Rattus norvegicus: one gene and its partners. The protein of the gene in region 4 interacts with the protein of the main gene of each other region in a biochemical or structural test. Links are inferred from orthologs where the notes say so. Each region holds a gene or a part of one and is shown on either strand. Other genes may lie near its edges.

Region 1 (4,219 bases), on a different chromosome or scaffold from region 4:
CAGCAAGCTAGGGAAATTTCTTGTATCTTTTCCAGATGTTATAACATTCTCAGCTTTAGAACTATTGGAAGCTAGTGGTCTTCCACTTTAAGGATACATTCCAACAGTTTTACCTAATAATCGCAAGTCAGAGTCAAAGGTTGGTAATAAGTGCCCATTCAGAGAACTAAAGATAGCTCAAGATAAACTTGATTAAGTGTGTATACCAGGTTTCTATCCTTTCACATTTGAAGTTCTAGGCATTTGGTCAGTCCATAGGATTGCCAGCACAGATAAAATTTCTTCAGAGAACTTCGAGTCACATGTTCTCTGAGCAGGTCTTGGGAGTTCTGGGTGGCTGGATTGGCTCAGGGCTCTAGAATTATCTGAGATAACAACACTGTACTCAGGGTAAAATTGTGTGAGAACTCCTGCATCGCCCAGAAGAGAGTCCAGTTGGAGAATGACTAGCCTGGTTCAGAGTTCCATCTAAACTGATGTCCTGTGGATATAGAACCTTGGACAAGTTGGGGATGGGGGGGGGGTAAATTTGCTTTTCCCATCTTTCTGAGTTCTAGTAATTCATCAAAACAACCCATAATTTTATTTCGAGATAAAGAAACGGAAAAATAAAACAAGGTTAAGAATGCTTCTCAGAAATTAAATCCAGGTTCTGGCAGGTAGAAACTGGTTACTTTGGTCTTTGACCCCTAGGTCTCAGTTTCTTTACCCAAAGTCTGTAGTTTGTAGGCAAGTGTTTAAAGATATTACTGGTTTTGTTTGTTGTCTTATCATCAGTGCAGAGGGTACTCAGCTTGGTGGAATTTCAAATATGAGAGCCTAGTATTTCAGATTCCTTCATATTCCCAACTAGTACTGTGTGTTCATCAGGTTCAAGAGCAGGTATTACCAGTCCCCATCAGGACCTGACCAGTCACTGGGCCACAGAACTGACCATCTGATAAGACTGAATGCAGGCTTTTCCTTGTTTTCTCCCTTTGCTATCCGCCTCCATGCTGTGAGGCAAAGAAAACCTCTTTCCTAAGTGCTGTGTATTCTGTGACTCCACTATGGGATGTGTCACAGGCAGAAAGACCTAGCCTGGGGACCTGCTGCTCTTTGAAGGGAGTGTGCTCGTCTTCCCTACATAAGATTAAAAGAGGCGTCTCTCTGTAAGGTGCCAGAACTTTCTGGAGACTACTACTGAGGGATTAGCATTGACTAACCCTGTTTAGACTCTGAAATAGCGCAGAAAGCTGGATCACACGCTGCAATGGCCTAGGTTTCTGAAGCCATCCCTACCCATTTAGCTGGGCCGCAGGCGCTGGGCCGTGGGCCTACAAGCCCCAGCATGCCTCGGGAGGCGGGGCAAGTTGACAGACAGGCGATTCTACAAATTGGCTATTGCCGTGGGATGTACGCGCTAGCGCATGCGCAGGAGGCAGCGGGCGGGTGGGCTGGCAGCGGTGGACTCGCGTCGGAGCCGCGGGCGGTCAGGTAGGGGGCGGGAAGGAGGGTCTGCGATCAGGGACTGTGGTGGGTCGCGGGGCTCCAAGATTGAATGGCAGAATTTGGGGACTGGATCTGAGTGGCAGGACCGGGTTGGGGAGGGACGGGCTCAGGAGCGATTCGGCGGGGCTGAGATGCAGCTGGGGGAGGGGAGCAAAGGGGCTGAGGAAATTTGCAGTTGCAGCATGTCGGGAGAGAGGTATGAGGTAATGTGGGGGCCATGCGGAGAGACGGGGTGCAGCATGTGTAAGATGCGAGGACCTGAAGTGCCTGGAGGTATCTGGGTGCATACTATCAGAAGCAGAAAGGAATTTGGCAGGCCTGGATGAGATTGGGTGTTGGCGGGCAGAATCTTAAGGGCTTTGAGGAGATCGGTGTAATGGTAGCAAGATCCGAGATCAAAACAGCCAGAGTCTTGGAAGATCCTAAATGCTGAAGAGAAAGGGATTTCTGTAGCGGAATCTGGGAAAGATTGAGGGGTGAGTTCCCAAGGGAATCAGTACCCAGTTAGCAAATCGCAGCAAAGGTTTGAAGGCAACACGTGAGGCAGGACGGGGGCGGGGGTGGGGAGGTTGGAGGTGGCACAGTACAAGATGGGGAATGCAGATGAGGGAAAAGGTTGAAGGAGGCAGAGTCTAAGGTACAGGATTGGAGTTTGGAGCTGCCATACGTGGGTGATAGGAGTGGAAGTTTGAAAATAGATGAAAGGATGTAGGGAGTTTGAAAATAGATGAAAGGATGTACCAGAGGGATGTGGGACACATAAGAGCTATTGGTGAGTTGCAGGGTTGCAACATACACAGTCTAAGAGGTTGAATTCTAGATTTGGGATTTATTGTTGAGAATGGGGTTTGTAAAGGATTGAATGGTGGGGAGTGAATGTTGTAACTAGATTGTACAATTCAAAACCAGGTGAAATTTCTGAGACCACTAAAGGAGGTGTTTGTTTGTTTGTTTGTTTTGTTTCTTGATTTCTGCATAATTGAACCCAGAGGGTGTTCTGAAGACCCAGGGACCTGAAAGTAATTTATAAATAAACTATGCATGAATGAATGGAATTTAGGAGAATGTAGGGGTTTGGAAATAAAGACACTGGTCTTCAGAAATCCTGAAGGAGAGTTTGACATTCTCTGAAGGGCAGAGTCTTCCTCACTTGCTAACTAAAGGCCCTTTAATCCTGAGGCAGACAGGTATTCTCACTAAATCCACTCTGACCACCCCAACTTCCCCACCACAGACTCAACATTATAGGCCTTGGGGAAGAACAATAAACTACCTAGGGGCTTTGCTACTTATCCCTTTCTCTGTACCCCTAAGCCCTCAAAGGTATAAGCCAAAATTATCTTAGATCTGACATCATTTTATAGAAGGTCTATTATAGCACAAAGAGGCAGTGATTCTATGAATGAAGTATTAGAATTGGGCGAGAAACAAAACAGGGTTGGAGCAAGGGAGAGCCTCACATGTACTGAGTATTTAGACTGTATCATTACCTAAAACCATAGTTCTCAGATAGGGTGGTTTTGTTCTGCCAGGAAACATTTGACCATGTCTGGATGGAGGCATTGTCAGTTGTCATAATTGAGGGGTTGTGGGGGTCTACTGATTTCTAGTGAACAACCCCCACAATAAACTGTCACCTAGCCAGAAATGCCAATCATGCCACAAATGAGGGACCTAGCAAGAGAGTCAAGAATTCTGGGTCCAAATCCTGGCTTTTTCTCTTCCTGCTTTGAAATCTTAAGACTTATTTGACCTCTCAATGCACAAGTTTGACCTCTCAATGCACAAGCTCTTCAGAGACCTGCATCCTAGGATTGCTGTACGGACTCAGTGAAATAAATCGGGGTACTTACTGTCTAGTGCCTAGTAAGTGTTAAGAATTTACTACTCTCAAAGATCTATGTGTACTTTCTTCTCATGGCAGTCCTTCTAAATATACTTTCTATGTCCAGTGTGACACATGAAACTAAGGCTTAGGAGATCACTTGTGTAAAGCCACATCACCAAAACTGGCAGAAGTAAACTGCCGTGTAAATTGCCACCACAGAATCTCCCCTCTTGCTTCTTTGCTGCAGTCGTCTTGGTCCTCCCTTTTCAGACTTTCCTAATGAAAAGGAGGCTTGCCCCATATTCAAAAGTGGGGTGACTTTTCTTGATCAGCAGAAGCCCTGGACTTTGTTCTTGCTTTGCTCTTAGACCAGAACCAGTGGGGAGATAGTGCAAGGAGTTTGGAGCTACGAAGCTGAGATAAGAAGACTCTGGCCCAAGGACAGTGCTAGACTGAAGGAGACTGCTCTGAATACCCTCCTTTGTGTATTTTGGTCTCAGGAACAGAAAGGTAGCATTGTCTTTATCAACTCCAAACCTAGCTACATTACAGGAGGCAATTTCCTAGTTAAAATCAGACTGGAGCTGAGGGCAGAACACTTGACTGTGATATCCACACAGATCACTTCTGGAAACACATGATGGAGCAGGTTCAGTTAGCCTTGGAATCAGGTGTTTTACTGCTTGTTTGGTGGTCAAGCACTAGTCAGCCTCTGTCTATAAACAGAGTGAACTCCACTGAGTGCTGACTAGTGTACATTCTCTCCATAAAGCTCACAATGTAAATGTTGCTCTTGATTCCATAAGGTGGGAAGTTAATAGGTAAGTTGCATGACATATCCTGGGCTTCAGAGCCTATGGCTAAGTGGGCATGTGAATCAGAAGTCACAAGTTGGCAAGC
Region 2 (4,300 bases), on a different chromosome or scaffold from region 4:
CTGGAACCAGTTATGTAGCAAAGGCTGGTTTATAATAATTCTTTAGTGGCTACTTTCCCAAATGCTGAGATTACAGAAATGTGTCTCTTTGTTGAGCTCTTCAGACTCAACATACCAAACCCAATAGGCATTTACTCATGTTAAAGTCTGGGGTATAGGACCAAAGCTAAACACCCCCAAAACCAGGAGGGAAGCAATAACAGCCAATCTCTAAACTGCTGAGCTTTAGCCAGTACCATAAAGATATTATCACCCCCACTTTAACCTTTAACAAGTATTCTTTTTTTTAAAGATTTATTTATTATATATAAGTACACTGTAGCTATCTTCAGACACACCAGAAGAGGACATTAGATCTCATTACAGATGGTTATGAGCCACCATATGGTTGCTGGGATTTGAACTCAGGACCTCTGGAAGAACAGTAGGTGACCTTAACCATTGAGCCATTTCTCCAAAGCCCTCCCCTACCCCCCACCCTCCAAGATTCTTTGAAGCCTCCAGTGTAACTTTTTGTTGCTGTTTTCCTTGAACGTCACATGTCTATAAAGCCAATATCTGCTTGTCATAAAGCACATTCTATAAAATGCTAGTGTTGCAAATAAATGCTAACAAAAATCTTTACAGTAAATTTGTTGCAATTTCTTCTTTTAGCACTAAGAACTTTAGAAAGCTTGGTTGGGAGAAAAACAGAAGGGTAGCCCGAAAAATACTAAAAGAATAATTACAAAAATTATTGTTTGTATCTTGGTTTAGAGAGTTACTTTTTAGCCAGCGAATAACAAAATTTCTACAACCTACAGTGGCTGAACCACCAAAGGCGGGAGGAGTTGCTACTGGCAGGCCAAGCGCGAGTGCACAGCAGCTCCCGGAAGTCCCGCCCAAATGGGCGGTTCCTTGGAGGAAGACAGTTTTGGCGGGAGTTGTGACATTTGTAGCGCCTGTGTACCTACTCGGGCCGCGCCTAATAGATCGACTGGCTTGACAGCGAGTCTGAGCCGCTGGGTCTTGAGACCCGGGGGAACCGCGAGGCGGCCAGAAGCTGGAGCGTGGGCACTGGAGGGCTGCCTCCACTGCAACTGCGACACGGAAGTCCAGCGGCGGCCCGAGCCCGGTTTCCGGGTGATCTTGGAGCGGCGGTCTCCGGGCTTCCGGTGCTGGCCGGCTCGGCGGCCTCGCGCAAAGAGGCGGGTCCTCCACTAAGTAAGAAGGGGAGCTGGATGCGACCTTCTGTGGCGCGGGGAGCTAGAACCCCTCTCCGCCCCGAGGCCTCCGCGCTCCGGGAGGAACGTTCTTTCATTCCCTTGCTGGACGCAGGGCATAACTGTTTACCTGACATCACAGCTCCTGTTCGCCTCGGGCCTGTGGAAACTCAGGCCGTCTGGATTTCAGTACGCTGCTGTATGTGAGAATAAACGCCAGAAGGCTCCTGATTTTCTTCATACTTTATGTGCTTAGCCGAAAGACGACTTTTGTTCCTTTCAGCTGTTGACGTTGGGTAGGCCACATTAGCATATGAAGATGGCTGCACCTAAAAACTCCATCCCTTCCTTAGCGGAATGTCAGTGCGGGATCTGCATGGAAATCCTCGTAGAGCCTGTTACCCTACCTTGCAACCACACGCTCTGTAACCCATGCTTCCAATCGACTGTTGAAAAGGCCAATTTATGCTGTCCCTTCTGTCGCCGCCGGGTCTCTTCGTGGACTCGGTACCATACCCGAAGAAATTCTCTGGTCAATACAGACCTGTGGGAGATTATTCAAAAGCACTATGCAAAGGAATGCAAGCTTAGAATCTCTGGACAAGAATCAAAGGAAATCGGTAAGTAAGATTAAACATGTTTATTGGGTAAAATCCAAAATCTTTTAGAAAGGGAACCATTTTTGTTTCTCGAGACAGGGTTCCTCAGTGTAGCCCTAGCTAGCCCCGAACTCAGAAATCTACCTATGTCTGCCTCCTGCGTGATGGGATTAAATGTACTCGACCCCACCGCACTGCTAGAACCATCATCTTTTCTTTTTTTTTTTTTTTTCTTTCTTTCTTTTTTTCGAACCTAGGGCCTTGTGCTTGCTAGGCAAGCGCTCTACCACTGAGCTAAATCCCCAAACCCCCCCCCCCCCGCCTTTTTTTAATATTATTTATTTAATGTGTATGAGTATACCGTAGCTGTGAGCCACCATGTGGTTGCTGGGAATTGAACTCAGGACCTCTGGAAGAGCAGTCAGTGCTCTTAACCACTGAGCCACCTCCCCAGCCCGAATCATCATTTTCTAATTAAAAAAAGAAAAGAAAAGAAAAAGAAGGCTAAGTAGTCTGAATCGTGAGGATTTGTGGTTTTGTAGGCCTTGCCCACACAGACGTTAAAGTCAAGGACAGACTTTATCACATGTAATAATGGTCAACTTGTGTTCATCTACTGTGAATTTAGGGCTTTTTTTTTTTTTTTTTTTGGGTAACATTTTTTAGACATGTTTTGAGACAAGGTTTTATTACTATGTAGCTTGGGCTAGCCTTAGCCTCACACATAGTGGAGTTGTAGCAACTCGAGAACACACCTGCGCTTTATTCTTAGAATTAGTGAGGGTTGGCAACCTTTTCTGTAAAGGGCAGAATAGTATTTTGTGGACTGTATAGTCTACTGAGGACCGTGATATCTGCCACCGTAGACAATACATTAATTTACATTGCCCTTTGTAATTGAAGGCAGAGCCTGTGCTTCCATAAAACTATGAAAAGGAAATGTAAGGGCAGATGTGGCCTGCCAATGAACCATGACTAAATAGCCCCCGTCTTTAGAATATCACTATTACCTTCCTAAGAATAACTATCTGTGGAGGTAGCAGAATTAAGTAACTGCAGATACTCATGAAGGAAAAACTTGAGATCTCTTTTTTTTTTTTTTTTTTTTTTTTTTGGTTCTTTTCTTTTGGAGCTGGGGACCGAACCCAGGGCCTTGCGCTTCCTAGGCAAGCGCTCTACCACTGAGCTAAATCCCCAACCCCGAGATCTCTTTTAAGTATGTATTTAATTGAGTATGCGAGTGTATGTGCACCATGTGCATGCAGTGCAGAAGAGGCACGAGATCCCTAGAACTGAGGGGCAGACCGTTATAGGCTGCTATGGGAGTACTAGGAACCAACCAAACCTGCTTACCCTGAAAGAAGAGTAGGCATCCTTAACCACTGAGCCAACTCTCAGAAAATTCTTACCCTTAAAAGAAGTTCAAGGGTTGGGGATTTAGCTCAGTGGGCCCTGGGTTCAGTCCCCAGCTCCAAAAAAAAAGAAAAGAAAAAAAAAGAAGTTCAATTGATAAATTAGATATCAAGAGGTCAAAAGAGCCTACAAAGTGGAAGAAAATATTTGTTAAGAAAGTAATGCCTAGGGGTTGGAGATTTAGCTCAGCGGTAGAGCGCTTGCCTAGCAAGCGGAAGGCCCTGGGTTCGGTCCCCAGCTCCGAAAAAAAAAAAAGAAAAAAGAAAAAAAGAAAAAAAAGAAAAAAGAAAGTAATGCCTAAATAGAAGCAAGAGGATCACTAAATTCTAGGCCTGGCAGGGATAATTTGTGAGACCCTCTTAAAAATAACTGACCAGGGAAAAAACGCACTTAAAAAAGCTCAGCAGGAGTTTAGCCAAGACTACACAATAAGATCCTGTCTCAAAAAAAGATTCCTGGGGGCTGGAGAAATGGCTCAGTGGTTAAGAGCACTGACTGCTCTTCCAGAGGTCTTGAGTTCAATTCCCAGCAACCACATGGTGGCTCACAACCATCTGTAATACCCTATTCTGGTGTGTCTGGTGTACTCATATCCATTAAATAATATTTTTAAAAAATTGTAGTGTGGGATGAAGGCTTTGTTCAAGCTGTCATTACTTAGGAAAGCATTAATTTCATTAGTGGATCAATCCACTGATAAGTTCATCCCAACTGGGCTGTTAGGAGGCGAGGCCTGTCTGGAGGAAACACTGGTCACTGAAAATGCCTTTGACAGGTATACGTTGTTCTGGTTCCTCTCTGTGTTTCTTTGCTTCTTGACTGCAGTTGAAGTGGGCAACTCTGCTCTACCAAGGCTTTTCACAATTGCATAAAACCATAAATGTAAATTTCCGAATGAGCCAAACTAAACCTTTCCCCTCTGGTGTTGTTATGTGAGGTGTTTTGTCATAGCAGTAGTGGCTAACAGGAAGAAAATTGACAGAGTCTAAATTGAAGAGATAAAGAGATGCAGGCCAGCCTAGCCTGAACTCACAACAGTCTGCCTGCTTCGTCCTCAAGCTAGGACTAGAAGCGAGTGCTACGTGC
Region 3 (3,500 bases), on a different chromosome or scaffold from region 4:
CTTTAGGAAGATTTATTTTTTTTCTCAGTAATTTAATATAAGACCCATTGAGTGCCTGAGCACCTTATTCCTGGTGAGTATTCCAGAGACGATACTGATCCCAAATGGCTGAATTCAAGGTATCACAGGATGTGTGGCTTCCTACATTGCAGATATATGTGACCTGGGAAAGTAAGTTGACTACAGCAGAACACAACTGGCCATTGACCTGGGGCAGCACTCCAACACAATCTTGGGGAAAAGATTTAATGTAGATATTCATCCATTAGGACGTACAAATAAATAAGCTCAGAAGAGCCAGCAGAAAAAAAACAAACTGCCAATTTATCTTCAGTCTCAGATACGTCAATTCTAAAATACTAATACACAAATTAACTAATAAAAAGATGTAGGACATTCAATATAAATATCCCCAAACAAAAAACAAAATCAAGGATAAATGCTATTTCTTCCTATGTGTCAGGACTACAAATAGCATTTAAATACTTTATTATTCAAATTAAGAAATTATACATTTTGTCTGATAATTGTCATTGTCTTAAAAGTGTCATTCAGTTTTCCCACATTTAAAAGCATATTGCTAATTCTGGTTACCGAGCCTCTAGGCACGATGCTGGACTTGGATGAGAAGCAGTCTGGAGTCCTCACCAGCTCCATGATCCTTGCATGCTAGCCTCCCAGATGCTTCCCTGATTCCTGTTTGCAGAAGCTGAGGTCAACTGGCAACAAGCTGGACCCTGATAAAGTGCCTAAATGAGAATCACCTGGCCTGATGCTCTTCCCTGACAGATGCCAGGGATGCTGTCTTCTTATTAAAACAGCGGCAGAAAACAAAGGTGCTGAGGCCTGGATGAATCCCCCCAAGATGCGCAAGATGATGGGCAGCACTGTTAGGCCAGGAGAGCATGTGGATCACGGAGAGACGCAGCCTGCCACTTTGGTTCAAATGACTTTAATAAAAGCTGCAGTGCCCACATCCCCCAGTTGCCAACTCACTACAGGTGACACAGTACCTCAGGAAGTATAGGGATGCTCCTTCTCTGCCTCCTGGAAAGCTTCCCAGGCACAAAGCAGAGACAAGGAAAGAGCAATGAGGACAGCAGTCACCTCTCACCCACACAGCCATGTCCAAACCTCATGATGCAGGTCAGTAGGAGTCTGAAGACAAGCATGCGATTCCCACCTGGGTGGGGGACATGGCTTAAAAAGCACAAATAAAATAATACTAGAGTTATCCATTTTCCAAACCTAACCACTTTGGGAAAAGGCAGCAGGAAAAAATACCTTCAGTTTTACAATTAGGCTTGTAAACAATCAACCACATGAGAAGCAGTGGCTCGGGGCTCTGTGTATCAGCCCCAGATTCTGTCTACAGATACTGGTGCCTGACCCAGGAGGGGATATAAACCAGATCAGCAAAGCCAGAGCTTCATCTTTGGTTAATTTCATTGAGTTGCCACTATTCTAAAACCTGTGCTCTTCTTGGCAAAATTACTAAACCAGCCACATAGCACATAACAATAGCTAGGTTATGTGAAAAGCAAATGTCCATCTATGTATGTGACTGTGTCACAATAAAACCATCTTAAAAAAAATCAGAAAGGGAGGGATGCCAGATAGAAGGCCTGAGGAGAGCCGAGGGTCCCGCCTGAGTGCTCTCTTGGGTCTGGTAGGTGCTGGCTGCCTTTGGGTCAGATCAAGTTCCCTGGGCTCAATTCAGCTCAGCTCAACTCAAAGCCAGCAGCACACTCGATGGCATACAGCAGCTTGCTTCGCAGCAGGGCTTCATCATAAAACTCTGGGAGCTTCAGCAGGTTCATGCAGGTGCTGGCTGTAGGTAGCCGCTCAAGGTCAGAGCCTCCATTGTGAATGCAAAATGCAGGGTATAGCTCCTAGAAGACAGAGCACAGGATATGGTTAGAGGACTCTGGCATAGCCTGGAGCCCACCAGTTATTCTCGAAGCTTCTTTTCTCAAAAATATTTTTTCTTATAAAAAGTACTTATCTTAAATTCTGTGTATGTACATGTATGTGTGTCTGTCATGTAAGGGCGTCACCCAGTACCTAGGGGTGTTTGGATACCCCTTGAGCTGAGGTTACAAGTGGTTGTAAGCTGCTGGACATGGGTGCTTGGGTCCTCTACAAGACCAGTATGGGCTCTTAACCACTGGGCCACTTCTCTAGACACTTGCCTTTTTTGTTACTGTATGTATGTATGTATGTATGTATGTATGTATGTATGTATGTATATATGTATTTTTGATTTTTTGAGACAGGGTTTCTCTGTATAGCCCCAACTGTCCAGCATTTCCATCTGTAGAGCTACTGACCTTGAACTCAGACCTACATGCTTCCCGAGTGCTGGGGTTAAAGGCATACACTACCACTGCTCAACTTCATTATGGTTTTAAATATCTTTAAAAATTATATTTGTGTATATTTGTGTGTGGGCACATACAGAACATATAGAAGTATAGCAGACAACTATACTATAGCAGTCAGTTCTTTACTTTTACTACATGTGTTGGGGTACTGAATTTAGGTTGTCAGGCTTGGTACTTTTACCTGTGAGCTACCTCTCCAGACAGACACACACACACCCCCCAGTGTGTACATTTGAATTGGTGTTTTGCTTGCATGTATGTTTGTGTGAAGGTGTTGGGTCCCCTGGAAGTGGAGTTACAGACAGTTCTGAAGTGCCATGTGGGTGCTGGAAATTAAACCAGGGCTCTCTGCTCTTAATCTCTAAGCCCTCTCCCTGTTTGTTTGTTTGTTTTTTTTTCTTTTAATTACAGAGGACTCAGCTCCAAGTTGTAGCAAAATGATGAATTGTTTGATGTGGTTAGAGCAAAATGGAAATGACAAGCTGCATGCACTTTTCACCCCCTTCCACCTCCACTACCGCCTTGGTTTTTCCAAGACAGGGTTTCTCTGTGTAACAGCCTGGCTGTTTTAGAACTCTCTTTGTAGACCAGGCTAGCATCAAACTCATAGATAGATATGCCTGCCTGGGATTAAAGGCATGTGCTACCACCCATAGCTACCCCCCTTCCCCAAAAAGTAATTTATTTTTGTTTAATGTGTATGTGAACCTGGTGCCTAAGAAGGTCAGAAAAGAGCATCAGGTCATTGGAACTATAGTTATAGCCAGTGTGAGGCACTATGTGGGTGTTCTGTAAGAACAGTGAGTCATTTCTCCAGCCTTATACCCACCTCAGGAATCTGAGACAGGTCTAGGACTGAACTGAGAATTTGAGGTCAGGCCACATTACAGAGTAAGATCCCCATCTCAAAAGAGAGGGGGATGGGGGAAGGGAGGGGGGGAAAGTTGGGGGGGGAAGAGAAAGAAAAGGAGGGAGGGATAGAGGGAAGGAGGGCATGAGAGAGGGGGAGGGGGAGGGAGAACAAACATTCAAGAGAGAGGGGACAGCAAGGATCAGTTGGATACTTCAAATGAACTTCAGTAGTCACACCAAACTTAGAAACCATGTAGATGTGTC
Region 4 (3,500 bases):
CTAAACTGTTCTTTTTTTTTTTTTTTTTTTTTTTTTTCCTTTTCTTTTTTTCGGAGCTGTGGACCGAACCCAGGGCCTTGTGCTTGCTAGGCAAGCGCTCTACCACTAAGCTAAATCCCCAACCCCTAAGCTAAATCCCCAACCCCTAAACTGTTCTTCTTTTTTTTTTTTTTTTTTGGTTCTTTTTTTTCGGAGCTGGGGATCGAACCCAGGGCCTTGCGCTTCCTAGGTAAGCGCTCTACCACTGAGCTAAATCCCCAGCCCCCTAAACTGTTCTTCTTTTTGGTTCTTTTTTTTTTTTTTTCCCCCGGAGCTGGGGACCGAACCCCGGGCCTTGCGCTTCCTAGGTAAGCGTTCTACCACTGAGCTAAATCCCCAGCCCCTAAACTGTTCTTCTTAATTTGAGTATGTAGACCCTTTCTGCCATATGCCAGTGTTACTTAAGTATATTTTATGCAGTTGTTTTAAGGAATGATTAAATCTTGGAGGTAGGCTGGTTTTGGTGGTGCATGTCTTTATCCCAGCACTCCGAAGGCAGATCTCTGTGGGTTTTGGGGAAGGGGGTTGTTTGGGATTTTTTTGTTTGTTTGTTTGTTTGTTTGCTTGTTTGTTTCATTTAGATTTATTTAATGTATATGAGGACTCTGTCAGCATGAAAGCCTACGGATCAGAAGAGAGTATCAGATCCCATCATTCGTGATTGTGAAATGCCGGGTAGTTGCTGAGAACTGTACTTGGGACCTCTGAAAGAACAGCTAGTGCTTTTAACTACTAAACTATCTGTCTAGCCCTGATCTCTGTGAGTTTAATGCCAGCCTGTACTATAGAGTGAGTTCCTGGACATAGAAAACCCCCGTCTCAGAAATAGAGAGAGACAGAGAAGAAAGTCAGTCAGTCAGTCTTGGAGGCAAATAAGTAAGTTTTAATAGTACCTAGGTAGGGCCTTTCTATGGGCTTTGTCAACAGATTTATCTTCCAGGCATGACTTTGAGATGAGTTTTTGTTGGTTAGTTAGGTTAATTTTGTGGCAGAATCACTGTGTAGCCATGGCTCGCCTGGAACTCACTATATAGACCAGGTTGGTCTCACACCCTTTACTTAGCCAAAGAGAAATTTAAATTTAGCATTGTGTACCTCAGCTTTGTCAACATTGTTGTAGGCATGCTATATCACCATGCTTAGTTCCAAAGACTTTATATTTACTTTATGTGTGTGTATGTGTACATGTACAAGACATATTTGGAAGCCAGAGAACAGCTTGGGAGCAGATTTTCTCTTGCTCTGGGAATCAAACATGTCAGGCTTGATAGCAAACCTTTTCTTACTGAGCCACCTTTCTGGCCTCAGAAAAATGCCCTGGATCTTTATAGTTTTGTTGGTGGTTTGGTGGTAATGATGTGTATAACATATGTTAACACACGAGTTCTTCTGTTTGGAGACCAGGAGAGGGCATTAGATCCTTTGGAGCTAGAATTACAGGTTGTTAGAAGCTACTCTGATTCAGAGTGTGCATACTTAACCAGCTGAGCCTCTCTCTAGCGCCTCCAAATATTTTAAAACCAACTGTCTGATTTTTTTGTTTGGTTTTGGTGGGGTTTGTTGTTGGGGTTTTGGGGATTTTTTTGTCTTTTGTTTTGTTTTTGTATTGGTGGTTGTTTGGGGGGGCTTTAGAGATAGGCTTTCTCTGTAACTAGAACTCAAACTCTGGCTGGACTCTAATTCAGAGATCTACCTGCCTCTGCTTCCAGCGGCTTTCAGATTAAAGGTAGGCACTGCCACACCCTGCTGACTTGTCTGTCTCTTATTTTTAATGGTTTAATCTTCATCCTGCCCATAGAAACTAGGTGTTATCATACTATTTATAAATAAACTATTTATAAATGAGCTTTGATTCGGTACTGGGAATGAGAGGTTCTACGGTGTAGGTGTAATGCAAATATTGTTAATTAATATGGTGACTTTTTCTTTCTTTCAGTGTTTCATTGGCAGGCTACAATAATGGGGCCAGTAAGTATTCACTTTAATTCCTTAATTAATAATTGTTTTATGTAATTTATTCATTTTTAATCTCACTCTCTTATCAACAGAATGACAGCCCCTATCAGGGTGGAGTATTTTTCTTGACTATTCATTTCCCAACAGATTACCCCTTCAAACCGCCTAAGGTAATTAGTATATGATCATTGCTCTTAAGATGCTCTGTATGGTACTGGTAAACCAATCACAAAGATTTCTTTTTCTTCAGGTTGCATTTACAACAAGAATTTATCATCCAAATATTAACAGTAATGGCAGCATTTGTCTTGATATTCTACGGTCACAGTGGTCTCCAGCACTAACTATTTCAAAAGGTAATGCAATAGTTGTTTGGTATCAAGGTGAAATAACTGATTTTTATGCAGGGTGTAGATGTGTACACCGTTGATACCAGCACTGGGGAGACAGAGACAGGCAGGTTTCTAAGTGCCAGGGCTGTGTAGTGAGACCCTGTCTCAAAGAGGAAAAAGTAACTGCTTTTTTTTTTTTTTTTAAAACAGGTCTCTGTTGGTCTATCTTGTTAAAATTATCTTTTTTTAAATTAATTATTTTTTGTATATTATATCTGCATGTATATCTTTGCTCTGTGTGTGTGTGTGTGTGTGTGTATGTGTGTGTGTGTGTTGCCCCCAGAGGCCAGAAGAGCGTGACCTGTTAATTGAATTATAGAGTTAGAGTGAGCTAGCATATGGGTACTGGGAAATGAGCAGCCATTGTTCTTAACTGCTTAACTTCTTTCCAGTCCTGGCTTTTTTTTTTTTTTTTTTAAATAACTCCTGTTTCCTTTTTAAAAGGACCAGTCTAGGGCTGGAGAGATGGCTCAGTGGTTAGGAGCACTGACTGCTCTTCCAGAGGTCCTGAGTTCAATTCCCAGCAACCACATGGTGGCTCACAACCATCTGTAATGGGATCTGGTCCCCTCTTCTGGTGTGTCTGAAAAGAGTGACACTGTACTTACATAGATTAAATAAATCTTTTTTTTTTTTTTTTTTTTTTTTTTTTGGTTCTTTTTTTCGGAGCTGGGGACCGAACCCAGGGCCTTGCGCTTCCTAGGCAAGCGCTCTACCACTGAGCTAAATCCCCAACCCCTAAACTGTTCTTCTTAATTTGAGTATGTAGACCCTTTCTGCCATATGCCAGTGTTACTTAAGTATATTTTATGCAGTTGTTTTAAGGAATGATTAAATCTTGGAGGTAGGCTGAAAAGAGTGACACTGTACTTACATAGATTAAATAAATCTAAAAAAAAAAAAAAAAGGCTGGGGATTTAGCTCAGTGGTAGAGCGCTTACCTAGGAAGCGCAAGGCCCTGGGTTCGGTCCCCAGCTCCGAAAAAAAAGAACCAAAAAAAAAAAAAAAAGGGACCAGTCTCCCTTAGTTTGTAATAGTATTTGTTGATACAATGGAAAACAGTTGAATTTTGGAGAATTGGTCCATAGTAAGATGCAGGTTGTTGATTGTGAT
Region 5 (2,835 bases), on a different chromosome or scaffold from region 4:
AAGATTATCAACAATGATATCCTAAGGGTGGGAGGGCAGATGGGAGCCTGATCCAGCTCCAGAGACCTCACCCCTCTGACCTTTATAGGCTCCTGCGCTCTAATGCACACATACACAGATGCCCACATATACCCATAATTTAAAATTAATAAAAACAATAGTTTTAAAAAAAGAATAATCCTGAGGGCTTCTCAGTAGTTAAGAGGCCTAGCTGCTTTTCTAGAAGAGCCAGATTCAGTTCTTAGCCCTCAGTGGCTCACAAACATCTTTAACTCCAGGTCTCGAGGATTCAGTACTCTATTCTGGTCTCAGTGGGCATCAGGCACATATGTAGTGCATGTAAATGCATGCAAGCAACATACCCATGTGCATAAAATAGAAAAATAAGCTGGGTGTGCTGATAGTGGGTGGTGCATGCCTGTAACCCCAGCATTAGAGAGGCAGAGGCAGGTGAATCTAAGTTCAAGGCCAGGCTAGTCTACAGAGTGAGCTCCAGGAAAACCAAAGCTACATAGTGAGACCTCACCTCAATAAACTAATTAATATAAAGATTAATAAAATAAAAATAAATAAAAATAAAAAAGGGAAACTAGAGCATCAATCCTGGCTCGGCAGGAGGCAGCAGCAGAATACAGGCTCTGGGAGATTGGGCCTTGTGAAGCTCAAAGCCGGGGTACAGGGAGCCCAGGACAGCAACGGACAACACTAAGGTGAGAGCGGGTGGACTACACAGGGCAGCAGCCTAATTGTCTCTAAGATCCGAGAGGCAGGAAGTAGGACCAGATACAAGGGGCTGGCCAGTGATGAGGGTGACTAGATCTTGGGTGATGAGGGCACCCTCTCAGGAGTCCCAAGTCTACCCAGCTGAGATATAACAAGAGGAAGGGGAGCTACACCCTGGGGCTCTTTGACGTTGCTAATATGTGAGCTTGGGCCAGGGTAGGGGGTATAGTAAGGCCTCGATCTCCAGTGTTCATAGTGGAGTGTCTGCAGCAAAACTCCAGCAAAAGAAACAGCAAGTACCACACGATACTGCCCCGGCTGTAAAGCCACATCTGGACATTTCAGTGGCAGAGTGTCGTGTCCCCCCCCCCCCCCCCCCCTCCCGGAGCTGGGGACCGAACCCAGGGCCTTGTGCTTGCTAGGCAAGCACTCTACCACTGAGCTAAATCCCCAACCCCTTACATCTGGACATTTCAAACAGCAACTAAACATGATCTGGTTAGGTCTCCCCAGGGCCAGGGCTTTCCTTTTACGGCTCTGGTTAGTGCCAGTGCTTTCCTGAGATGCTGCAGGGATCTGTGCCAGACCAAGAACCACAGTTCTCCCCAGACTAATCACACGCCAGGAACAACTATGACACTGAAAACCAGCAGTCCTGAGTTGGGCTTAGGAAAGTCCCTGTGCCAGGAAACAGTGTGGGCTGGAGGAGCAGGGAGCAGGTGCAGGCCCAGGGACACAGGGTGTACTCACTGCTGTCCTGGACAAGGAGGTGTCTTCTTTCCAATTAGGAAAAAGACAGAGGGGACCGCTGGAGGCAGAGGACAAATCTTGGCCTGGCTAATTATAGCAGCTCTTGGTACTTACAGGTAGTGGCTTTTCCTGCCTCCTAGCCCTTGGGAGAGGAGGGTGCCACACAGACCAGCAAGGACACCAGCTCTCCCCTTGATACCTCCAAGCCAGGCCTACCCACTGGCTCCTACCATCTGAACTGCTCACACAGAGTTGAACCTTGAGCAATTCCCTTCTGTTCTGCCTTTGCTATGACTGAGCCTTCAGGTCAGCATAGTAGATGCCTGACCCCTACCAGAGAGCAAAGAGTATACAAGCCATCCCATAACCTGAGGACTAGATGACTGGTGAAGGGGATCTATCCATCAGATGTGGGATCTGGCAGAGTTGCTCCTGCCAGGCCCTTGTACCTTTTGTGATAGATGCACAGGCAAGGCAGCCTGGCTATCGTGTCCCCCTGAAGCAGCTCCTCCAGGCAGATCACACACTCACCCGCATCTTTAGTCAGCACATCATCTGCAAGAGAGATGGGGATACCAACAGAGTTAATCACCAGCATGTGGGGGGCACAGAGCACACAGGTCTATGAGCTACTTACAGACCTAAACCACTATGTGTCTGGAACGCACGGTATGTACGGAACACAGCAATGGGAGAAACATGCAGATAACTAGAAGAGCCTTCTGACTGGGGTACCAGGGGCATGGACAAAGTGCTTATTCAGACTGCTCACCAGAGGCTTGGGGGAACTTCAGGAAGTCTGCTAAGACAGGTCGCAAAGAGACCCAAGGAGTCACCGGCGGGGATGGAACCAAGTCCCCAGGAGCAGATTCAGGCTGTGCTGTGGAACCTCAGGCTCCTTTGCTTAGCTAAGGGGCAGTAGAGGTAGAGAAGGAGCGCTCACTTGGAGGCCAACTCTGACCATGCAGCAACAGCACATGTGCTAGCCAGGGCAGGGCGTAGGCATGTGTACGTCTTTAAGACACGCCACAGGAAAAGGCAACGCTAGAGAGGGGTGAGACCCAGAGTGTCTATCAGGTGTCTCCATAGGGACAAACCAATGGGAACTTCCACATGTGGAGACTTTCCCTTCAGTCTAGATGTAGGGACAGCATGCACAGACAGTAGAATAAAGAGACTGTTCCAGGACAAAGTTTAGACTAAACTGCAATGAAGCCACAGGCAGGGACTGTGATGCCCTGACCCCGAGTCACCATGAAGTTCCCTGAGCATAGCAGAACATCCAGTGAGCACTAATGAGATTCTGTGTGTGCTTTTCTGAGCTGAAGGATCTTACAAGCTAGCAGGGCACATGGTCACAAT
Region 6 (4,219 bases), on a different chromosome or scaffold from region 4:
TTCAAGTGCAGCTTGGTCTACAGCTTGAGGTCCAGGACAGCTACACAGAGAAACCTAGTCTCCAAGCAAACAGGAGTATGGTGGGACACACCTGTAATCCAAACATCTGGGGAGTTCATTCGAGAGGAACTTGAATTCAGGACTAACCTGGACTACAAAGGCTGTGTCTTAATAAGAAAAAAAAAACTAATGGTAAATTCTGTTAATATATCTCCTACCACAATGGGGGAAAAGTTTATACTTTATTGGATTACTCTCCAGAAAGTAAATTCTGCTGGCACAGATCATTTTTACTCGTTACCAATTTGAAAAGAACACTCTTATTTATTTATTATTTATTTATTTATTTATTTATTTATTTAGAGATGGCTGATCTCAAACTCACTCCATACCTAAGGGGTGGCCTTGAACTTTTTTTTTTTTCAAGACAGAGCTTCTCTGTACAACACAGCCCTTGCTGTATTGGACTCACTTTGTAGGCCAGGCTGGCTTTTAAATCACAGAGACTGGCCTGCCTCTGCCTTCTGAATACTGGGGTTAAAGTACTACCATGCCAGACAGACTTCAACAACTTCTTCTTCTTTCTCCTTCTCCTCCTCTTCCTCCTCCTCCTTCTTTTCTTCTTCTTCCTCTTCCTCAGATTTATTTATTTTATCTGTATGAATATACTGTAGCTGTCTTCAGACACACCAGAAGAGGGCATCAGATCCCATTACAGATGGTTATAAACCACCAAGTGGTTGCTGGGAATCAAACTCAGGACCTTTGGAGAGGCAGTCAGTGCCATCTCTCCAGCCCAGCCTTTAACTTCTACTCTTCTTGCCTACTCCCTGCAGTTTACACCAGATCTAAGAAACAGAAACTTAAAAAAAAAAAAATTAAGTTTCACTATGTAACTTTGGCTGTCCTGGAATTCACTCTGTAGGCTAGACTGGCCTCGAACTCACAAGAGATCCGCCTGCCTAGCCTGGTGTCACAATGTCATAGATTGAAAACACAGCACTGTTGAGTTCTCAACAGATCCAGATCAAGGTGGGTAGCTGCAGAGTAAACGAGATAACGTCATTTTATTCCAAATCCCGACCCTAAAAATGAAGCTTTAAGAAGGGTTTTGTGGGTATCTGCATAAATGTGAAGTTAAGATTTATTATGGTGCATACGGGGCACTGTGAGAGACTCTGATATCTGAATAATGCAGCTAAACAAGGGAAAGGTAACACCTCCCGATTCCCGGGCGATGACGTCTGCTTGGCTCGGAAGGAAAAGAGGAAGGGGCAGGACGCTTTGCTGTGCATGCGCCCGCGGGTCGCTGGAGCAGCCGCTCTAGGCAGCAGGGAGGTCGCGCAGGGTTAAGAGCCTAAAGCGGTCTCTTCTCTATGGTTGCAGGAGCTGGTCAGAGTCGGTCCGCAGTCCTACGTTATTTCCGGAAACGAAGCCTGCCGCTTGTCCTCTACTTCCGCGGGGTCCTGGCGGGTGGCAGTGACGGAGTGGGTCCCAGGACTAGTGGCGAGGTGAGCTTCGGCACGGTGTGTGGTGGGTAATGAGGCGGCAGGGCGCTTGGCATGAGAGTTTGGCGCGGGAGACCGAACTGAACCCGCTCCCGGAGCGGCGCTGGCAGGGTGGGCCCAGACCCTCGGGCCTCCTCACCCTGGCCTGAGCACACCGGCAAGACTGCGGATCCCAGCTTGGCAGTTCCCCTTCCCTTCCGAGGCGAAGAGCCATTCCACCGCGGGTCTCTAGTCCTCGCCTTCCGGGTCTGGGTCAGAGCCCCTCGGAGGGTGACAGAGAAGGGGGTCTTGTTTCCACTCATTTAGGGGCTACGGGTGCCCGCCACGGCCGCTAGATCGAGGCACCTTCCTATCTCAAGGCAGAAGGTTCATAATGGGAAATAAGGATAACGGAACATCAGACTCCAAAGTGACACTGGGGCTTGTCTTCTCATTCCCATAGTCAAGACTCAGAAACCGTATGCTAAGGAGAGCGCGCGTGCGCGCGTGTGTGTTTAAAGACCGAGACGATGTGTCTAACTGGGGATCTTTAACTGGGCAAGGTGGGGGGCACCCATAACTTTGGTTGAGAAGAGAAAGTGGGAGCCTTATGCTCTCAACTGTCGCCGTTGGGTCCTCCCCACGGAATCCCATTGGTCCGTCCTTGGAGTGGCCCCAACGTCACACCAGGAGAGACCAATACGAAGGAGTTTTCCTCTCATCTTTAGGTACGGACTGCACGTGCCAATGAAGTTTTATTTTTGTCACTGCTATTTTATAAACAGCCTGGATGTATCCCGACCCAAGTGCTCGTTGTATGCCTGGGTATATCATCCATAAACCTGATAGGAAAACCGTACTCTCTCGGAGGCTGTTTAGACACACACACAACACACACACCCTTTTTCCCCTTTCCCTCTGGGGTTATAAATTCTAAGCACACTGTAGCCAGCATTTGGTAAAATGTGACTGTTAATAATGCTATTAATAACAGTCAGCAAACTTTTTACCTATCTGTGGACGCAGTTTGACATCTAATTTGACAACAATTCTTTAGCGTTGATATCAGTGCGGACTGATACACGGGAAAAAAACGAGGCTCAAAGAACAAGGGGTGACCAGATTGGGACCCCAGGTTAGCCTCACTCTGAAGACTTAACTTTGGGTTTTGGTCTTTTTGTTTGTTTATTTGTTTGGGTTTTGAGGGAGGGGGAGCCTGGGGTTGGTGGTTTTGTTGTTTGTTTGTTTTGTGTTTTTGTTTTTGTTTTGTGACAGGGTTTCTCTGTGTAGTCCTGGCTGTCTGATAACTCAGACCAGGCTGGCCAAGAATGCACAGAAATCCACCTGCCTGTGGAGGTTAAATGCCACCATGCCTTGGTTTGTTTTATTTGTTGAGAAAGGGTTTGTGTAGTCCAGGCTGGCCAAGAATAATTCTTGGACTTCTGATGTTCCTGGCTTTCTGAATTGAGTAACAGGAAATGGAGAAGGGAGAAAATGAAACTCTGAAGTGACACTGGGGCTAGAGTTTCCCTTTTCTGATTCCCAGCCCATGACTCAGAAATCTGAACTGGTGCAAAAGAGAGATTTTTCTGAGTGCTGATAGTAGGTGTTACCACCTATTATGCCCAGCTTATGCACTGCTAATGATAGGAGCAGTCAGCAAGCACTTTGCCAAACAGTCCAAGAGATTAGGGAACACAGAGAAACCTTACACAGTTAACTTGGGTTGGAGTGAATTAATTATCAAAGACCATCTGGATCTTGTTCGTGGATACTTTTAACTTAGAAATCTTAACAGACAGGAGTGTGATGATCCATATAAGATAGTTATTGACAACCATGTTGATTACGCCAATTAAAAATGTTAAGTACTTTTTATTGATGGCAAGACCAAAATGGGCTTGTGCCTCTAAAGACACAAACCTTCAAAGTTAGATGAGGATCAGAGTAACCTTAAACTTTCATTCCTGGCAGGGCAGAGTCTTAGATGTAACCTCAAATGGGTTGCCAAGACCGACATTGGGTTGGGGAAAGGGGAAAGACAAATTCAGTCAAAACAAGATGGCATTACCTTAGTCATTTCAAGAAGAGTATATGAAGATACACTCAAGGAACAGAAATGTGTACATGCTCTATGAACAGAGTCTAATCCTGGTAATAGAAGTTCTTGTGGAACCTATTGTTTGCTAGGAACTGTTCTGAGTTCTGATAAATGGTTATTATCCCCATTGTATAGGTGATATAAAGAAAGGTAAATGACTTACCTGAGATCAAGCAGCTAGTGGTTTATTGAGCTAAGATTTAACTTGATCATTCTGGCTCAAGAGACTGTGCTATAAGTGAGAATGTCAGTTTGGCAGCCACACATGATGGTGTCTCAGCATTAACAAGCCAACACCTGATGGCACAGGCTTTTAGTTATTGGGTAGACCAAGGCAGGAAGATTGCAAATTCAAAGCCTTAATTATGTGGACTGGGCTGAAGCTACTGCCTCTGTAGTAGAGTATATTTAGAGTGAACAAAGTCCTGGCTTCAGTTCCCAGCACTAGAAAAGTTAGTTTACTACTTCACCATGCATATTCTTCACTGAATAAAACCACAACTGCTTTATTTTGTTTTATTTTGTTGTAGTAGGGAGTGTTGTTTTGAGATGGTCTCATGCATCACTCTCTGGCTGGCAAGGGGTGACCTTGAAGTCCTAGTCCTTCACCACTCAGCTGCTGTGATTACAG
Region 7 (3,500 bases), on a different chromosome or scaffold from region 4:
TGACTGATGGGAGACAGAAGTGATACCTGGCTGCCTTAATAAAAGACTGAGTAGACGTCTGCAGGCAGATAACAGGATGGCAGGGTTTCCTTCCCCTGTGACCTCTGAGCCCATTCCCAGAGCACAGTTCTAGTGATGATGCTGTTCATGCTGGGAAGAGTTGACCCGGCTCTAATGGTCTTTGGCATATGAACTTCATAGGACTAAAGCAGTAGGTCCTGAAGCTATGAGCAAACTCAGACTTGAGAAAAAATAGATGGAGGTGGAGACTCGGGAAAAAAGTCCAGCCCAAATAAAGTTTATATTGTAATTTAAGGTTTTCTTCTTTTAAAAAAGATTTGTTTTTATTTTATGTGAATGGGTGCTTTGCCTGCATGTCTATCTGCTCATAATATGTTTGAGTGCCCTGGCTGCCTCTAATGAGCAGCCATTTGGGTGGTGGGATTTGAACACTGGTCCTCCGGAAGACCAACCAGTGTTTTTAACTGCTAGGCCATCTCTCCAGTCTCCAGCCCTGTATTTAATTTATATTCCTCCTCTTCCCCTCCTCTTCCTCCTCTTCCTCCTCTTCCTCATCCTTTCCTCCTCCTCCTTCCTCCTTCCTTTTTTTTCTTCTTCCTTCTTTCCTTTTCTTCTGCCTCCTAAATGTTGGGAGTTAAAGGCTTGTGCCATCTTGCCCAGCTGTATTTAAGTTCTTAAGACAAAGACAGTTTTGTAGTTCTTTATTGTTTAGGAACTTTTTTGAAATTAGGTCTTCATATGTAGTCCTGCTTGGCCTGAAACTATGTATGCAGACCAGGCTGACCTCGAACTCCCTGATCCCCACCTGTATGTGTGTCTGCAGTGCAAGGGTTAAAGGTGTGGCCACAATGCCTGGTGCGATTCTTATTCTGTGTAGTCCACCCAGAGATTTCCACTGCTTTAAGAACAAAAAAGTATTTTAAACATGCTGGAGAACATTTTGGAAATACAGTTTACTCATTATATAACTCCAGAAAATTAACCTTTAGCGTTCAATTTTTATTTTATTTGTATATGGATTTAAAACTATATTTACTTAATTTTATTCTTTTATTCACGATAAATTTTGTGGTATGCTTTACAAGTATTTATGACATGTATACATACATATCTACTAATGTGTTATATTTGTAACTTTCCCCCTGCTTCCTTTTATTTTCTTGTTTTCCTTTACAGAGATGAGCCGTCAGACTGCTACAGCATTACCCACCGGCACCTCAAAGTGTCCACCATCCCAGAGGGTACCTGCCTTGACTGGCACAACTGCATCCAACAATGACTTGGCGAGTCTTTTCGAGTGTCCTGTCTGCTTTGACTATGTATTGCCACCTATTCTTCAGTGTCAGAGTGGCCATCTTGTTTGTAGCAACTGTCGCCCCAAACTTACATGTTGTCCCACCTGCCGGGGCCCGTTGGGATCCATTCGCAACTTGGCTATGGAGAAAGTGGCCAACTCCGTACTCTTCCCTTGTAAATATGCCTCTTCTGGATGTGAGATAACTCTGCCGCACACCGAAAAGGCAGAGCACGAGGAGCTCTGTGAGTTCAGGCCTTACTCCTGCCCCTGCCCTGGTGCTTCCTGTAAGTGGCAAGGCTCCTTGGATGCTGTCATGCCCCACCTGATGCATCAGCACAAGTCCATTACCACCCTGCAAGGAGAAGATATAGTTTTCCTTGCTACAGACATTAACCTTCCTGGTGCTGTTGACTGGGTGATGATGCAGTCTTGTTTTGGCTTTCATTTCATGTTAGTCTTGGAGAAACAAGAAAAATACGATGGCCATCAGCAGTTCTTTGCGATTGTACAGCTGATAGGAACACGCAAGCAAGCTGAAAATTTTGCATATCGACTTGAGCTGAATGGTCATAGGCGGCGATTGACTTGGGAAGCCACCCCTCGGTCTATTCATGAGGGAATTGCAACAGCCATCATGAATAGTGACTGCCTAGTGTTTGACACCAGCATTGCACAGCTCTTTGCAGAAAATGGCAATTTAGGCATCAATGTAACTATTTCCATGTGTTGAAACGGCAATCAAATATTTCTGGCCAGTGTTTAAAATTTGCATTTGACTTCACAGAGAATAAGGCACCCATCTGCTTGCCAACCTAAACCTCTCCTGGTAGGTAGAAGCTAGACATGAAGGTAAATAAAAAGAAAAGCTGTTAATACAGGAAACAGTTGCATGTAGTAACACTAATATATTTAAAAATAATTCAACAGTAAACCACTGAAAAATATATATACCCAAGATGGGCATCTTTTGTATTAAGAAAGGAAACATTGTAAAATATTTCTGAACTTTGTGTTTGTTGTAGATTGATTGTATTGTTGACAATTTTTTGGGGGTGTGTGTCTGTGCACGCATGCGTGCACGTGTGTGGTTGGTTTTCCTTTAACTGACAAGCCATCTGCGTGGTCATGGGCCACCGCTTTCCCCTTGTGAGTCAACACACAGTGCTGCTGTGGGGTTGTTTTTTGTTTTGTTTTTTGTTTTGTTTTTTGGTGTGTGTGTATTTGCTAATTTTTATTCTAGTTTTTCATTAAATAAATTTGACTTTCTTTTCTGTAATTCAGGTTTTTCTCACTTTTGTACCTTTTAAGTTAGCGTCTTTTTGATATCCATAATTGCTTAATGTCAGAAGTTTGTGTTCAGTACATACTTTCTTTTCCTTCAATCAATTTATTAGACATTTTTAATTCAGCCCTTCTGTGGAAATAGGAATTCCAGAAAGGAAAGGGAGCAGAGCAGCTCGTCGAGGCTGAAGCAAGTACAGGATGGTCTCGCCTCCCGACTGCTGTCCTACGCCGTCAGGTCAGGCTTACTCTCTGAAAGGTTAGCTTAGGGAGTAAACTCTGATCACTATAAATTATAAAATAATCAGGCTTTTCCTCTCTTCAAATGTCTTGGGCAAATCACATGTTTAAATTGGTTCTTGTATTTATTGGTTTTGCAAAAGAGTGCATCATCATACACAGTATTTGTAATTAAAGTAAATCATTTGTTTTTAAAAAAAGGCAGTTTGCAAAAAAATGTTTTTGGTCTTTTATAATTCTCATTAAAAGATTATCTGGCAAATTAAAAAACATTTTAATGTGTTTACTTTAGCTCTAGGTTTTTGTTTTTGTTTTTTGTTTCCCTGGAGCTGAGGACTGAATGTAGGGCCTAGCACTTGGCAGATGCTCTACCCTGAGCTACACCCTCACCCTGTGGCCCTAAGATGGATAAACTCCAAAGGTAGTTTCCTGTTCCGGTCTGTATTTTAGAGCAGAGGATTGTATGCCACTGTTTGAAGTATGTTTTATTTTAAATCACAGAAAAGACTGGACAGCTCTCCCTCCCACTTTCATTCCATTAGGACATTGGGAATATGACTAATTAATGCTGATTATTCTTTTCCTTTGTGAAAAAAGGTGAGTTATTTTATCCTTTCCTAGCTCCAGTGGTGTGGTACTGACTCTGCAGTCTGATTTTCAA

Evidence for each region.
Region 1: the proteins of Ube2d2 (region 4) and Trim32 form a complex in vitro, tested with the Homo sapiens proteins (2 studies listed by BioGRID). The link is inferred for Rattus norvegicus from reciprocal best matches to the Homo sapiens genes UBE2D2 and TRIM32.
Region 2: the proteins of Ube2d2 (region 4) and Rnf168 form a complex in vitro, tested with the Homo sapiens proteins (3 studies listed by BioGRID). The link is inferred for Rattus norvegicus from reciprocal best matches to the Homo sapiens genes UBE2D2 and RNF168.
Region 3: the proteins of Ube2d2 (region 4) and Ube3c form a complex in vitro, tested with the Homo sapiens proteins (4 studies listed by BioGRID). The link is inferred for Rattus norvegicus from reciprocal best matches to the Homo sapiens genes UBE2D2 and UBE3C.
Region 5: the proteins of Ube2d2 (region 4) and Znrf1 form a complex in vitro, tested with the Homo sapiens proteins (2 studies listed by BioGRID). The link is inferred for Rattus norvegicus from reciprocal best matches to the Homo sapiens genes UBE2D2 and ZNRF1.
Region 6: the proteins of Ube2d2 (region 4) and Bfar form a complex in vitro, tested with the Homo sapiens proteins (2 studies listed by BioGRID, with this or other methods). The link is inferred for Rattus norvegicus from reciprocal best matches to the Homo sapiens genes UBE2D2 and BFAR.
Region 7: the proteins of Ube2d2 (region 4) and Siah1 form a complex in vitro, tested with the Homo sapiens proteins (3 studies listed by BioGRID). The link is inferred for Rattus norvegicus from reciprocal best matches to the Homo sapiens genes UBE2D2 and SIAH1.

The regions. Positions count from the first base shown.
Region 1 is NC_086023.1:84,019,213-84,023,431, forward strand, and holds the start of Trim32 (E3 ubiquitin-protein ligase TRIM32), read left to right. Parts: upstream 1-1,419; 5' UTR 1,420-1,476; intron 1,477-4,219. UniProt on the Homo sapiens protein: E3 ubiquitin ligase that plays a role in various biological processes including neural stem cell differentiation, innate immunity, inflammatory resonse and autophagy.
Region 2 is NC_086029.1:82,010,507-82,014,806, reverse strand, and holds the start of Rnf168 (E3 ubiquitin-protein ligase RNF168), read left to right. Parts: upstream 1-1,500; 5' UTR 1,501-1,515; coding exon 1,516-1,822; intron 1,823-4,300. UniProt on the Homo sapiens protein: E3 ubiquitin-protein ligase required for accumulation of repair proteins to sites of DNA damage. Acts with UBE2N/UBC13 to amplify the RNF8-dependent histone ubiquitination.
Region 3 is NC_086022.1:6,323,846-6,327,345, forward strand, and holds part of Ube3c (ubiquitin protein ligase E3C), read right to left. Parts: intron 1,893-3,500; coding exon 1,722-1,892; 3' UTR 1-1,721. UniProt on the Homo sapiens protein: E3 ubiquitin-protein ligase that specifically catalyzes 'Lys-29'- and 'Lys-48'-linked polyubiquitin chains.
Region 4 is NC_086036.1:27,669,399-27,672,898, forward strand, and holds part of Ube2d2 (ubiquitin-conjugating enzyme E2 D2), read left to right. Parts: intron 1-1,975; coding exon 1,976-2,007; intron 2,008-2,087; coding exon 2,088-2,165; intron 2,166-2,245; coding exon 2,246-2,351; intron 2,352-3,500.
Region 5 is NC_086037.1:56,485,728-56,488,562, reverse strand, and holds part of Znrf1 (E3 ubiquitin-protein ligase ZNRF1), read right to left. Parts: intron 2,029-2,835; coding exon 1,923-2,028; intron 1-1,922. UniProt on the Homo sapiens protein: E3 ubiquitin-protein ligase that plays a role in different processes including cell differentiation, receptor recycling or regulation of inflammation. Mediates the ubiquitination of AKT1 and GLUL, thereby playing a role in neuron cells differentiation.
Region 6 is NC_086028.1:2,057,822-2,062,040, forward strand, and holds the start of Bfar (bifunctional apoptosis regulator), read left to right. Parts: upstream 1-1,419; 5' UTR 1,420-1,511; intron 1,512-4,219. UniProt on the Homo sapiens protein: Membrane-bound E3 ubiquitin ligase that plays a role in several processes including apoptosis regulation or reticulum endoplasmic stress. Has anti-apoptotic activity, both for apoptosis triggered via death-receptors and via mitochondrial factors.
Region 7 is NC_086037.1:36,572,665-36,576,164, forward strand, and holds the end of Siah1 (E3 ubiquitin-protein ligase SIAH1), read left to right. Parts: intron 1-1,197; 5' UTR 1,198-1,199; coding exon 1,200-2,048; 3' UTR 2,049-3,109; downstream 3,110-3,500. UniProt on the Homo sapiens protein: E3 ubiquitin-protein ligase that mediates ubiquitination and subsequent proteasomal degradation of target proteins.